Canis lupus familiaris: one gene and its partners. The protein of the gene in region 2 interacts with the protein of the main gene of each other region in a pairwise test. Links are inferred from orthologs where the notes say so. Each region holds a gene or a part of one and is shown on either strand. Other genes may lie near its edges. The genes, in order: FRYL, HOMER3 and EAF1.

The links.
Region 1: the proteins of HOMER3 (region 2) and FRYL interact in binary tests that used the Homo sapiens proteins (3 or more experiments, as listed by UniProt). The two-hybrid records come from large-scale screens. The link is inferred for Canis lupus familiaris from reciprocal best matches to the Homo sapiens genes HOMER3 and FRYL.
Region 3: the proteins of HOMER3 (region 2) and EAF1 interact in binary tests that used the Homo sapiens proteins (3 or more experiments, as listed by UniProt). The two-hybrid records come from large-scale screens. The link is inferred for Canis lupus familiaris from reciprocal best matches to the Homo sapiens genes HOMER3 and EAF1.

What each region holds. Positions count from the first base shown.
Region 1 is NC_049234.1:45,165,169-45,168,913, forward strand, and holds the start of FRYL (protein furry homolog-like), read right to left. Parts: upstream 2,798-3,745; 5' UTR 2,758-2,797; coding exon 2,685-2,757; intron 1-2,684. UniProt on the Homo sapiens protein: Plays a key role in maintaining the integrity of polarized cell extensions during morphogenesis, regulates the actin cytoskeleton and plays a key role in patterning sensory neuron dendritic fields by promoting avoidance between homologous dendrites as well as by limiting dendritic branching.
Region 2 is NC_049241.1:44,587,773-44,591,517, reverse strand, and holds the start of HOMER3 (homer protein homolog 3), read right to left. Parts: upstream 2,516-3,745; 5' UTR 2,380-2,515; intron 2,274-2,379; exon of another isoform or gene 1,744-2,273; intron 1,399-1,743; exon of another isoform or gene 705-1,398; 5' UTR 637-704; coding exon 623-636; intron 544-622; coding exon 387-543; intron 136-386; coding exon 4-135; intron 1-3. UniProt on the Homo sapiens protein: Postsynaptic density scaffolding protein. Binds and cross-links cytoplasmic regions of GRM1, GRM5, ITPR1, DNM3, RYR1, RYR2, SHANK1 and SHANK3.
Region 3 is NC_049244.1:27,713,041-27,716,785, reverse strand, and holds the start of EAF1 (ELL-associated factor 1), read left to right. Parts: upstream 1-1,248; 5' UTR 1,249-1,326; coding exon 1,327-1,429; intron 1,430-1,659; exon of another isoform or gene 1,660-1,738; intron 1,739-2,733; exon of another isoform or gene 2,734-2,748; coding exon of another isoform or gene 2,749-2,773; intron 2,774-3,392; coding exon 3,393-3,487; intron 3,488-3,745. Other genes in the region: tRNA N(3)-methylcytidine methyltransferase METTL6, read right to left, coding at 1-67. UniProt on the Homo sapiens protein: Acts as a transcriptional transactivator of ELL and ELL2 elongation activities.

The DNA of each region.
Region 1 (3,745 bases), on a different chromosome or scaffold from region 2:
GGCTTTTAGAAGGAGCCTTTGGCAGCAACATGGAAGAGGCTAAGAAGACAAAAAGGAAGCTCTGGCAATAATCCAGATGATAATGAAGAGAGGCCTGAACCAAGTTAAGTGGCTCTGGGAACAGAAGGCAGGAGAGACTAAGGAAACTGTAGAAGGTAGGACAACACATTTTGATAAGTGGCTGGGGGCAGGGGAGTAGGGGTGGCGAGTGTAGGTGGTGTATTGGTGAGAGAGGGCTGTTGATCCACACCTACTTTCTGGCTCAGGGAGACTGTGGGTACAGTACTGTCTACCATGGTGGGGAACATCCTGTCATTCAAAACTGAACTCAAATTCCTTTCCCTGTAAGTCTTCTCTGTCCCCTGTGGTTCAATAGGATTCCTTTGGTCTCCTTACTCCCCATTCTTGTCACATGTAACAGTCACGTGGTAAGTCATGATGCATATGCAGCAGCACTCGGTTAACTTCTTACTGTTAACTTTACATGCATATTTACTCTCTGATGAAACTAGAAGCTCCTTATGAGCCAAGATCACATTTAGTGGTTTCAGTACAGTATATGCTCAATCAATGTGAGCTGATTCAAGTGCTGGATTATGAAAACAACCCCTGGAAGAGAGAGGTAACTACCATCCTTCTCTAGGGTCTTAAAAATATTTTTATCTTCTCTCTCTCTCCTTTTTAAATACAATAAAGGGCCAAGGGAAGATTTTAAAAAGACTTCCACAGATACTGGTAAAAGAAAAACAGTCTCCCACTTTTGGGGCTAGAACGACCTAGTCAGGGTCTTGGTGAACGACTTTGTCTCTCCTCTCCACATTAACCTATTGCTTTACAACAGTAAAAACACCTTCACGAGATGTGGACCATGACTGCCCAAGGGAAACGGGATGCCCACAAACTGAATCATTAGAATACTAATAGCTAACGACAAAGGCTTTACAAACATCTGTTTTTGGTTCACTTCTGGATTCAGGGAATGTGATTACATGAGATTTGGCTGTGGCTGGTTACAGGGTTAGGGCAATGACATGTAGAAATGTTTAAATGGTCACAAAACAAAATAACCACATAATTCACAAGTATCTAAGCAAACTAAGTTTTTACAAGACAAGCTCAGGCTGTGATATAATCTAATGCACTGTTCTGATACAAGAGCCCATTAGTTAGAGCTTTATTATCACTATAAACCTGTCTTACTATTTTTTAAAAGTACCTGGTAAGGATGGAGGAAGGAGGGACAAAGGGGCAAGAGAGATTAGAAACTACAGTCGGTTTTAGTAAAAATGCATTCTGTATTACCCTTTTAAGTAGTAAAAGTACTTCATTTAAATTAGTAATTACAATTCAATTGTAATTCAATTATAATTCTAATTATTTAGAATTTAATTATTTTATTTATTAAATAATTTATTTAATTATTTTTAATTTATTTAATTATAATTATTCAATTATAATTCTCCCAATATTTTAATTCACTTAGAAACTTTCCTAGAACTAAGATAACTTTCTGCCATCTGGCAGAACAACATCTCCATATGGAAGAATTACTTACAGATCAAAAATAAAAGAAATACGGAGATTGTAAGTGCAGTATATTTGGCAAAATACAAATCTCTTCAAATTCTATTCTGTAAGGCTTTCCCTTAAGAGGTTTTCTCCCCCTATATCAACATTTGGCCTTTTACATTATTTGCTTACAAAACTATGCTAAGTAAATATTTTGGTAAAGAGTCAACTGGAAAAAATTAAATTTAGGTCTTTCATATTTTATTCAGTAGTTTGCTCAGACACCAGCAGCACAGTTGGGAGCAAGAACAACTCAGTTCTAATTCCAGTTCTTTGCCACTGTATGACCTTGGTAAAGTCACATTTTTTCCCCTATGTTTTAGTTTTCTTTGGCCAAAACAGACATTACAACAGAATCTTTGCTCGATTACTCCATTAGTTTGATATCATATTATTATGATAATTTTGACCAAAAAAAAAAAACACAGATTGTGGTAATAAATCATTTCTAGAAGTGCTTTCAGGTCTTCAGAGAAAAGTACCACTGGAAAATACTAGAAATACTGAACAAAATCAGGATTTCTGTCAAATTCACATATTGGGAAGGGAGTTATGGACAACATGACAACTCAACGACATTAGTTTTACTGACCTACCTGAACTTTGAATGTTCCTTATCAGAAAACTCACTACATACAGGAAAAATCCTCCTAGTAACTTCAATTACAGGAGTAGGGGAAAACTTATGAGCATTATATTAAATCATCTGATGCTTTCAGACAGCTGATGCTGCTTCAAACAAACATTCTGTCCTAACAGAACTGTGGAATAGTACTGGTATCTGAGAACCCTGCAGAGGTCGGAGTCTATCTGTCATTTCCCCCCCTATGTCGGACCAATGGAGAGAAACTTTGCCAGAACCATACAAAAAATTAACAAGAAAACCAACGCTGGTCAATTTCAGTCAAAGACTATTTAACCGCCAATAGTACGACTGCCCAGTGTGTACACATCCAGATTTTCTAACCCTCTCACTGACTACCATCCAAGAAAATACTCCTCGTGTTATTTTCAACAGCTCTGATTCTATTTGGATTGGTCTAAAGGATTAGCATGCAAGGAATGGCCATGATCATACATCAGCATTTCTCCCATTTAGGAATATATATACTTACAGCTGCTGCTCCAGGACTTTAACAAGGACTTTATGCTAATTTCAAAAAACACAGAATCCTGTAGGCTCAACATTGTGTCTCAACTGGGCTGCTACAGCAGCAGCAGCCTCCGGTTTGTTGATCTATCTCTCCAAGCCGCTGTCCCTTCTCCTCTCCCAGGCAGCAGAGTTTTGGCCCACAGTGCTTTGGCTTCATTACCATGCAGTCTCGCAGTGACGCACAACTATAGTGGAAACGCTGCTGAATGCAGATGAACTATCCAGTTGAATAAAAGCTTACAAGTTTATTACAAGTGCCCTGAAGGACATCATCACCTTTCTTTAGGTAGGCATACACGTGGCCGCAAGAATCTTTCTCTGCTTCTGCTCCCGGGCTTATCAGTTTTGATGAGCTGTGTGTCTCCGGCTGCCTTCCCTGTAGTCACTACTGACTGCTAGTAAACACACAAGGGTAGAGCTCTGCCCTTGGATGCCAACTTTTCTCACTTAAGGGCCTAAGGAATAAAAATAAATTCAGGTCTGGCCTAAGAGCTTTAAATCTCTTCCTATAACAGCTGACCAAAAAGAAAAAGAAAAAAAAAAAGACTCAGGGGTATTTATCCCACTCCAGTATCAGTTTTCTCTAGGTGATTTCAGTAGTACATTCTCTTCTCTTTGCCCTTCTACCTTACTACCCCCAGGCAGTAAGCAGTGACTTTCTCAGCAGGGTTATGATACCGAGTCCACGGCCTCACTGAACCCACCAGAGAGAACGCTGGCTAAATGGGATGAAAAGATGATGTAATGAACACTGTGGCTGAGCCCCCATCGGCCCTCTAAAAACTGCTCAGCTCAGGACAAAGTTTCCTCTGCTTCATGCAACTTATTCAAAAGAGGGAATTCTGTTATAGTAATGGGATTATTTCAAAATATAGGGCCTTCTATTCTTAATATAGCACATAATTCCCCTAGAAAAGCTTACAGTTGGAATATCAATGAATAGTGAGAAATCTTCTGGTCAAATAAAATGCACATTTTCAAAACTTTATTCTATAGAAATGGTTTTAAAAACTGAAAACTGGC
Region 2 (3,745 bases):
CACCTGGGTCAGATGCTGCTCAGAAGCAAAGCCAAGGCCATAGACGGTGTTGGCACGACTGTCTGCCCACTGCCCAAACTTCTGGGAGGTTTTGGTAAAGGTCATGTTGGGGGTGACGGTGCTGTTGATGATGGCCTGGGAAGAGGGAAGAGGGGGGAACACAATTCAAGCTTGATGAGACTGACAATAATGAACATGAGACCCCCAGGGTGTCACTTTGTATTAGCTCTTGGGAGGTTCTAGGTGTGAGCCATCTCAAGACAGAGACTGATTTAAGGGCTCCTCCCAACCCCCAGCCCCCAGGCACACAGCAGGGTAATGACTAGACCCAAACCTGCCTCTGAGACCTCAGGAGCCTGCCACCCCCACCCAGGCCCTGCCAGGACCTTGGCACCCCCAATGCTGATGATTCGGTAGACATTTCGGGTGGCATCATAGAAGTAGGAGACCGTGAGTGCGTGCTTGCCCGCGGGGATCCAGTTCCGCTTGGTGGCCGGGTCAATCTGGAACACATGTGCCCGTGTGCTGAAGATGGGCTGCTCCCTGCGTGGGGAGACGGTTCTCAGTGGGGCTAGGCATCCCCCAGGGGGCTCAGGGCCAAGCTGGGGAGGCAGGGGCTCACCTGGCTGTGGACATTGGTCAGGTTGGGTTGGGTGGGCTCCAAGAGGCAGCCAGAGGGATGGCAGGAGCTGCGGGTTCAGCCTCTGGGGGGAGAGAGGGATTGTGAGTGTCTCCCCAGGACAGGCTTAAGGAAACCAAGCGGGTCCAACCTCAGGACCCACCACCAGCCACACCATTCATAGAACCTCAATTAGAAAGGTAAAGGAATCAGCAGATCATTCAGCAAAAACACCCTGTCCCTCTCCTTTGGGAGGAAGCCCCCACACACCCTGAGCAGGAGATGACTCTCCGAGAGGAGCCAGGTGGCCCTGGATCTCCCAGCATAAACTTGTCAGCATGCTGGTTACTGAACCCAGAGTGACACCCCCTCAATACTGGTGCTAGATAGAGAAGGCCAAGGTGAACTCCTACTTGGTATTTTCTGCCACATTCACTCATCACTCCCCAAACCAGGATCTCCATCAAAATGTGGCCATCACCAGATGCCTCCTGGGAGACCAGTTCCTCCTAGATCCCACAGAGGGACCCCTCAGCTTCCACTCTAGGGCAGAGGCACACTTGGAGGCAGAGTCCAAATCCCCAGGGAGCTGCCAGCCTAGTTAAGAAGATGTAGTCAAACAAATTTACCCTGGTACCCACTAACCGATTGCCCATGACCACTCTATCCCAATACCATGCAGGGCTGGGTGGCATCAAGGATTGGGAGATCCCCAGCCCCTCTTGCTGCCTCCAGCCACGACCTCACAGATACCAGGAATGGCTGCCCTGGAGAATTCCTTAACCTCACCTCTGTGCCTCCAAAACCTGCATCTGGGGGATCTGCAGGGGACCAGGAGGGACCTGGGGAAGGGAGGTGGCCAGTGGGGGAAGGGAGGCCCCCCGCGGAGCGGCCTCCCTGGTCAGAGGAGGGTTGCCCCCCCACCCTGTCCTGGGCAGCTGCTGCCCGGGTCACAGGGTCTGAAACCGGAGCCCCTGTGTGGGGGAGGGGCGGCAGCGCTGGCCCGGGTTGGGAGCAAGTCCTGGGTCGAAGCAGGGTTCCAGGGTGCAGGGGTCCCAGAAACCCAGGCCCTGCCGGCCCTGACGGTCCTGCCGCGACTTGCAGCTTTGGGGAAAGTTACTCACCAACTAGTCATGTGCCTCGGTCGCCGCCGGCCGCGGGGCTCCCGGAGGAGGCCCGGACCCCGCCCGGTGCCAGGATCCCCAGTTGCGTGTGGGGGCGAAGCCCCACCCCATGCGCCCCGGGCTGGGGGGCCTGGTATTCAGTAAGGAAAGAATTCCCATCCGCGTCAGAATCGGGGCGCCCAGTGCGCTCCCCGACTTCGGGAAGTGCCACCCTCGACCCGGGAACTTCCGAGATTCGCGCGATGCCCCCCGACTCCGGGTCCAGAACTTCGGGGATCCCTCGCACCACCTCCGACTTCTAAATTCCGGGGACTCCCTGCCAGCTCTCCAGCCCCGGGTCGGTGATTTCGGGATCCTCTCGTGCCGCCTCCCAACCCCAGGCCGGGAACGTCGGGGACAGCGCAGCCTCCTCCAACGCCGGGTCCGGAACTTTGGGAACCCCTCGCCCCGTGCCCTCTCCGACCCCGGCTCCGGAACTTCGGGGCCCCTGCGCCCTCTCAAGCCCTGGAACTTCGGGGCTCCCCGGCCGCCCCCAGCCTCCCGGCCCGGAACTTCGGGGACCCCCGCGCCCTCGCCCCGGCCCTGGCACCTGGGGGCCCCCGCGTCCCCCGCGCAGGCTCGGACAGCCGGGCTCACCCTGCGGGCTCGGCGCCCCGCGAGTGTCCGGGCGCGAGTCGGGTGCTGCCCCGCGGCGCCGACTCCCCGCAGCCGGGCGCCCCGCTCGCTCGCTGGCTCCGGGGCCCGCGCCCTCCGCGCCGCCCTCCGCGCCGCCCGCGCCTTTGTCTGCGCCTCCGCCGCCGCCCGCGCCGCCTCCGGTCCCATCGCGGCCGGTCCCGACGCGGCCGCCGCCCGCCCCGCCTCCCCGGGCCGCCGAGGCCGCCCCGCAGCGCCCCCTGCCGGCCCTCCGCGGCGGGGGGGGGAAGGGAGGGGCGGAAGCCGGGAGCGGGGCGGGACGGGACTCCCTGGGGGCGGGGGGCGGGGTGAAGAGCGGGGAAGAGGGCCGGGGCGGATGGGGACAGAGACCCAGACCCAGAGGCAGAGACATGAGGGAGAGACACAGGAGGCAGACAGATGGAGGATGGGGCTTGATCGTCCTGTCGGGGCGGCCCTGGCCCTCGGGGCACTGCCTGAGGTCATGACCTTCTGCCTTTGATGGGAGTCCCTCTCCACCTGACAGGGATCTAGAGGCCGGGGCTCCTCTATCGCACGGAGCTGGGTGCTTGCACACAGTAGGTGCTCAGTGGGTGTAGCCTGGAAATGAAACAGACACAGGCTGGGCGAAAGCTAGAAGAGGCTGAGAGAGGCAAACAGTAGGCACTTAATGAGACTTGATCAGGGGTGCCCCGTTAGGAATCGTTCCTGCCTGACTCCCCCCCCAGCTCCAATCCCCTGTTGGGGAGAGGCTTCTATCCACCTTGTCTCCCAGGAGAGGAAGGTAACAATGCCAACATGGTCGAATTATCAGTATTGCTATGTTATAGGGTCTCAGAAGCCAGGGTAGAGCGAATATTGGGGCCCAGCTCCCACCAATTGTGCAAATCTCCTGGAGGTCCTCAGGCCTGGGTTTGCCATCACTGGTCAGGGGGAACCCTTCAGGCACTTGCCAGGAGAGGGTCCAACTGGAGATGAGCCAGGATCAGCCTCCCCAGGCCAGGGTCTGCCTGTGGGACCCACTTACTTGGCAGTCCAGTGGCTGCCCTTTCTCTGGACTCCTCCAAAGTCACACAGTGCCATCGGGTTCGTGGACAGAGGCACTGCAGCTCCCTCAAACCGAGGCCTACAGTTCCCTAAAGCCCTAAACCTCATGCTTGAGCTTTCCAACAATCTCAGAGATTTTGCTTTTTGCCTTCTCCGCCCCGTCTCATTTCCCTGTTTTTATTTCTGTTTTCCCCTGACCAGAATCATCTGGGCTGGTAGCTATCTTCTAATTACCTTTAGGTGAATTCCAGGTCGCGTCGTTTCTGAAGACTTATTTCCAGACCAAGATGGAGTTTACCTTGCT
Region 3 (3,745 bases), on a different chromosome or scaffold from region 2:
TCAATTTCTCCTCTTCTTCAGAGCTGAGAATCCTTGCCTGCAGCCCTTTTCTTTGCAAAGAAGCCATCTCCTCAACTGACAGGCATTACTGTTAACAGTGCTGAGGACTCTCCATCCCTGAGGAACCCGAGGACTCCAAGCTGATATTGCAGACATACAGAGGCAGGGTTTTTTCGGATGCAGTTTCTCAAGATTGGATTAATCCTGATTGGATTTCTCAGGCAGCACTGAGCCCTTGTGCAGGAGAAAGGAGATTCCGTTAGTGGCTTTAGAACAGTTTTTAAGACGCTGGGTTGGTGGTTCTAGAACATTTCTGTCACCAAACAGTTCAGACGCTGACTCGACACAACCTGGCCCACTACACAAGAGGTCGGTCACAAAGACCAAGACGCAGTCCCTACCTTCAGACAGACGGCCAGGACTCTCACGCACCGAACCACAAGTCAACTATTATAAACCGCTTTGCTTTTTAAAAAAGGACAGGCCCAAGGACTGACTGAGGAACCTTAGGGAGAAGACGCTCATCGGTTTTCGGTGCCCGCGACGAGGGGCGACTTAAAACAACCATGAGAGCTTCCCGAGGTGGCGACAGGCGGTCAAGTGGGGTCACCGTCGCCCAAGGATCGGAGACTCGCTTTGGGGGAGGGGGGAGATTTGGAGCCAAGCCCGGCGGCCTGAGTCTCTGATCGCACTCCCAAGAAGCTGTCTCACGAACCAGTGGGGGCGTCGCTTTCCAGGGGCTGGGGCTCCGGCTCCTCCATTAACGCGTGAGGGAGAAGAGGCCAATGACGCGCGGGGCCGGAGCCGTCGGGCGGAGGGCGCTCGGGAGAAACCAGGCCGCCGCGGCCGCCAGGGCCTGCGGAGAGCCGGCCACGCTGGCTACCGGGCCCGTGTTCACCTAGTTCGCCGCGCTCTCGGGCTCACCGTCGTCGGTTCTTACATTCGCCTGATCGGGGAGGGCCGGACGCCCTCGGCCCTCAGCCCGGCTAGGGGAGCCGCCACGCGGGGACAAACCCGCCTCAGGCACCTCACCCGGCGGAACCCTCAGCCATGGCGCCGCCCCCGCCACTTCCGCCTCGGACGCAGAGGTCCCGCCCCGCCGCCGGAAGTCGCGCGGCCCTGCTTCCGCGCAGGCCTCCCCCGCCCGGCCCGCCCCGCCGCCGAGGAGAGGACCTGCTTCCGGCCCCGGGTGGGCGCCGGCTGGGCTCGCCGCGCGCCGCGGAGCGCGGCCCAGGGAGCGTCGGTCCCCCGGACGCTGGCGCCGGAAGCTCGGGCCGCGGCTGCGCGGGGAGAGCGCCGGTGCGGGCGCGGGGCTCGGCGAGGGCCATGAACGGGACCGCGAACCCGCTGCTGGACCGCGAGGAGCACTGCCTGCGGCTCGGGGAGAGCTTCGAGAAGCGGCCGCGGGCCTCTTTCCACACCATTCGCTGTAAGCCGGCGCTCCCCTGCGTCCCTTTCGGCCGCTGCCCCGCCTTTGCCAGCCCGACCCCTCCCTCGGCCCCCGGCCCCCGGCCCCCGAAGCCCTGGAAGCCCTGGAAGCCCTGGAAGCCCCTGCCCACGTCAGCTCCCTTCTCTTCCCCTCGATCCTCCGGGACCTCAGTCCCCCCGCCCCCACCCCTCCTTTTTCCCAGCTCGCTTCCAAACCAAACCCTCCGTCACCCCCAACGATATTCTTGTGCCTTGTGATCCCAGATACTTCTTCCGAAGGTGGTCGGCCCCCTTGCTTTTTCGTCCGCCCACTCGGCCCTTCCTTATGCGAAACTGACCCCCCCCCCTCTTTATTACGGAAAGACCGTGACCTCACGTCGGCCTCCAGGTCGCCTGTGGGCCATCCCCCTTTCCCAGGGCCCCGCCAGGGTCCTCCACGGTTAAAGGGCCCTTCCCGTCTGCTCGCGAGCCTCGTCGCCTCCCTCCCCTTCCATCCCCTTCTTCCCTGCCCTCCTCAGCCTTCTTGCCTCGTCCGTCTTTGTTCGGGCCACCCCGAGCCTGCGCTCCATCTCCTGGGCAGCCCGAGAATCCGCGTCCCCCGTGCGCTCCGTCAGCGTCTTCCCCCCTCTAGCTTTGCGTGCCTCGTCGGACCCTGCTGTCTTTTGAGGTCACCCATCCTACCCACACTTAAACCCCGTACCAAGCCCCATGTGGGCGACGAATAAAATTAGCATTGGTGAGCCTGGAGTAAGTTAAAGCTTGGTGAGCTATGTTTGGAAGCCGAGGAGGAGGCCTAAAGACCAGCCAAGTAGTCATTATGCTGGACCTTCCTTTTCTGCGTGATTACAGACTCTGTGGAGGGAGGGCACGTCCACTCCAGGCCCTGCGTGAAGTTTCGGCTGTTAGGAATGGGCTGACTGGAGCATCCCTCTGTGATTCACAAGCTCCTGGTTTCCCGTCTTGGTAGTGCTCGTGCTGGTTAAGACTTGTTTTTGTCGAAGGAGCTAATAAAAGTGACTCAACACATTGGAAGAGGGCGTGTTGGGAGAATGAAGTTCCATCTTTCCGTGGTCACTTGCCTTCCCATTACCGTGTCTCCTGCTGACAGCAGATCGGCTTTCTCAGAGGGTAGATGTGGGTGGGGAATGTGACAGGAGCATCATTTCCTGAGCAGTTTCCTTAGTTGATGGTTTAATAGGGTGAAGGGCAGTGCGGAATTTGAGAGGCTTCACATAAGCACCTGGCCTGCAGCTTGAGACCAGTGTATGTCAAAATGGAGAAAAATGACTATTCATGTTGTACTTTGGCAGCAGTTGAGAGATGTGGGCAGGATTAACCTTTGGAGGTGCAGTTCAGCCATCTGCTCTGTACTTTTACAAGAGTGTTTTTATTTTTGTTAAAGCTATAGAAGTTGAGTGTGGCAAATTCTGATTTTGAGTTTCTTTGCAAAATGAAATCAGTTTATGTGGTACTGTGGCCTTCCATGTTTCATACTGGGCTTAACAATCAGAGAATCTTTCAAAAATGCTGTGTTTGCTTTTGATCCTGTACGCAACAACCCTAATAAAACACCTTATGGATAATGGGGCGTTAATTTTCATCTGTCACTTGGGAGAAGGGAGTATCTTTGCTTAATAAAATGGTATATGAATTCTAGCTTTTTTTCTTCAAAATGATCCAGTGGGGATGGGAGGAAAATATGTGGGAGGTATAGATGAAACAAAATTGTACCTAAATTGGTAATTATTGAAGCTGGGTGACAGGACACCGAGGCTCATATTGTACTATTCTTTGCTTTTGTATATGTGGAATTTTCCACAATGAAATAGGTTTTTTTTTTAATTCTAAATTTGTATTTTGCATTTATCTGGAGTGACAAAAAAAATTAATGTTTAAATAAGAATGCCCAGGAGGCTTAGTATAAGTAACTTGGTGGATAAATGCTCTTTTGCTTTTCCCTTTAGATGACTTTAAGCCAGCATCTATAGATACTTCATGCGAAGGAGAGCTTCAGGTTGGCAAAGGAGATGAAGTCACAATTACACTGCCACATATCCCTGTAAGTTTATGCACTGTGGAATCACAGTGAATCCTCATATTCTTTTATTGCGATTTGAATTTCCTACTATTTACAAACTTCTAGATTTCTAAAGTTCCAACATAAGGAAAAAAGGAATTTTGGGGGTGGGGTAGGGTGGAATTCATGCTTCCCAAGTGCTTGAGTAAAAATGATTCTTTGCCATTTTCCCCAATCTCCCTTTTCCCCCCATTTGCTACAAAGTAGACCAGGTTCCTATCTGGATACATAGCCCCTCTT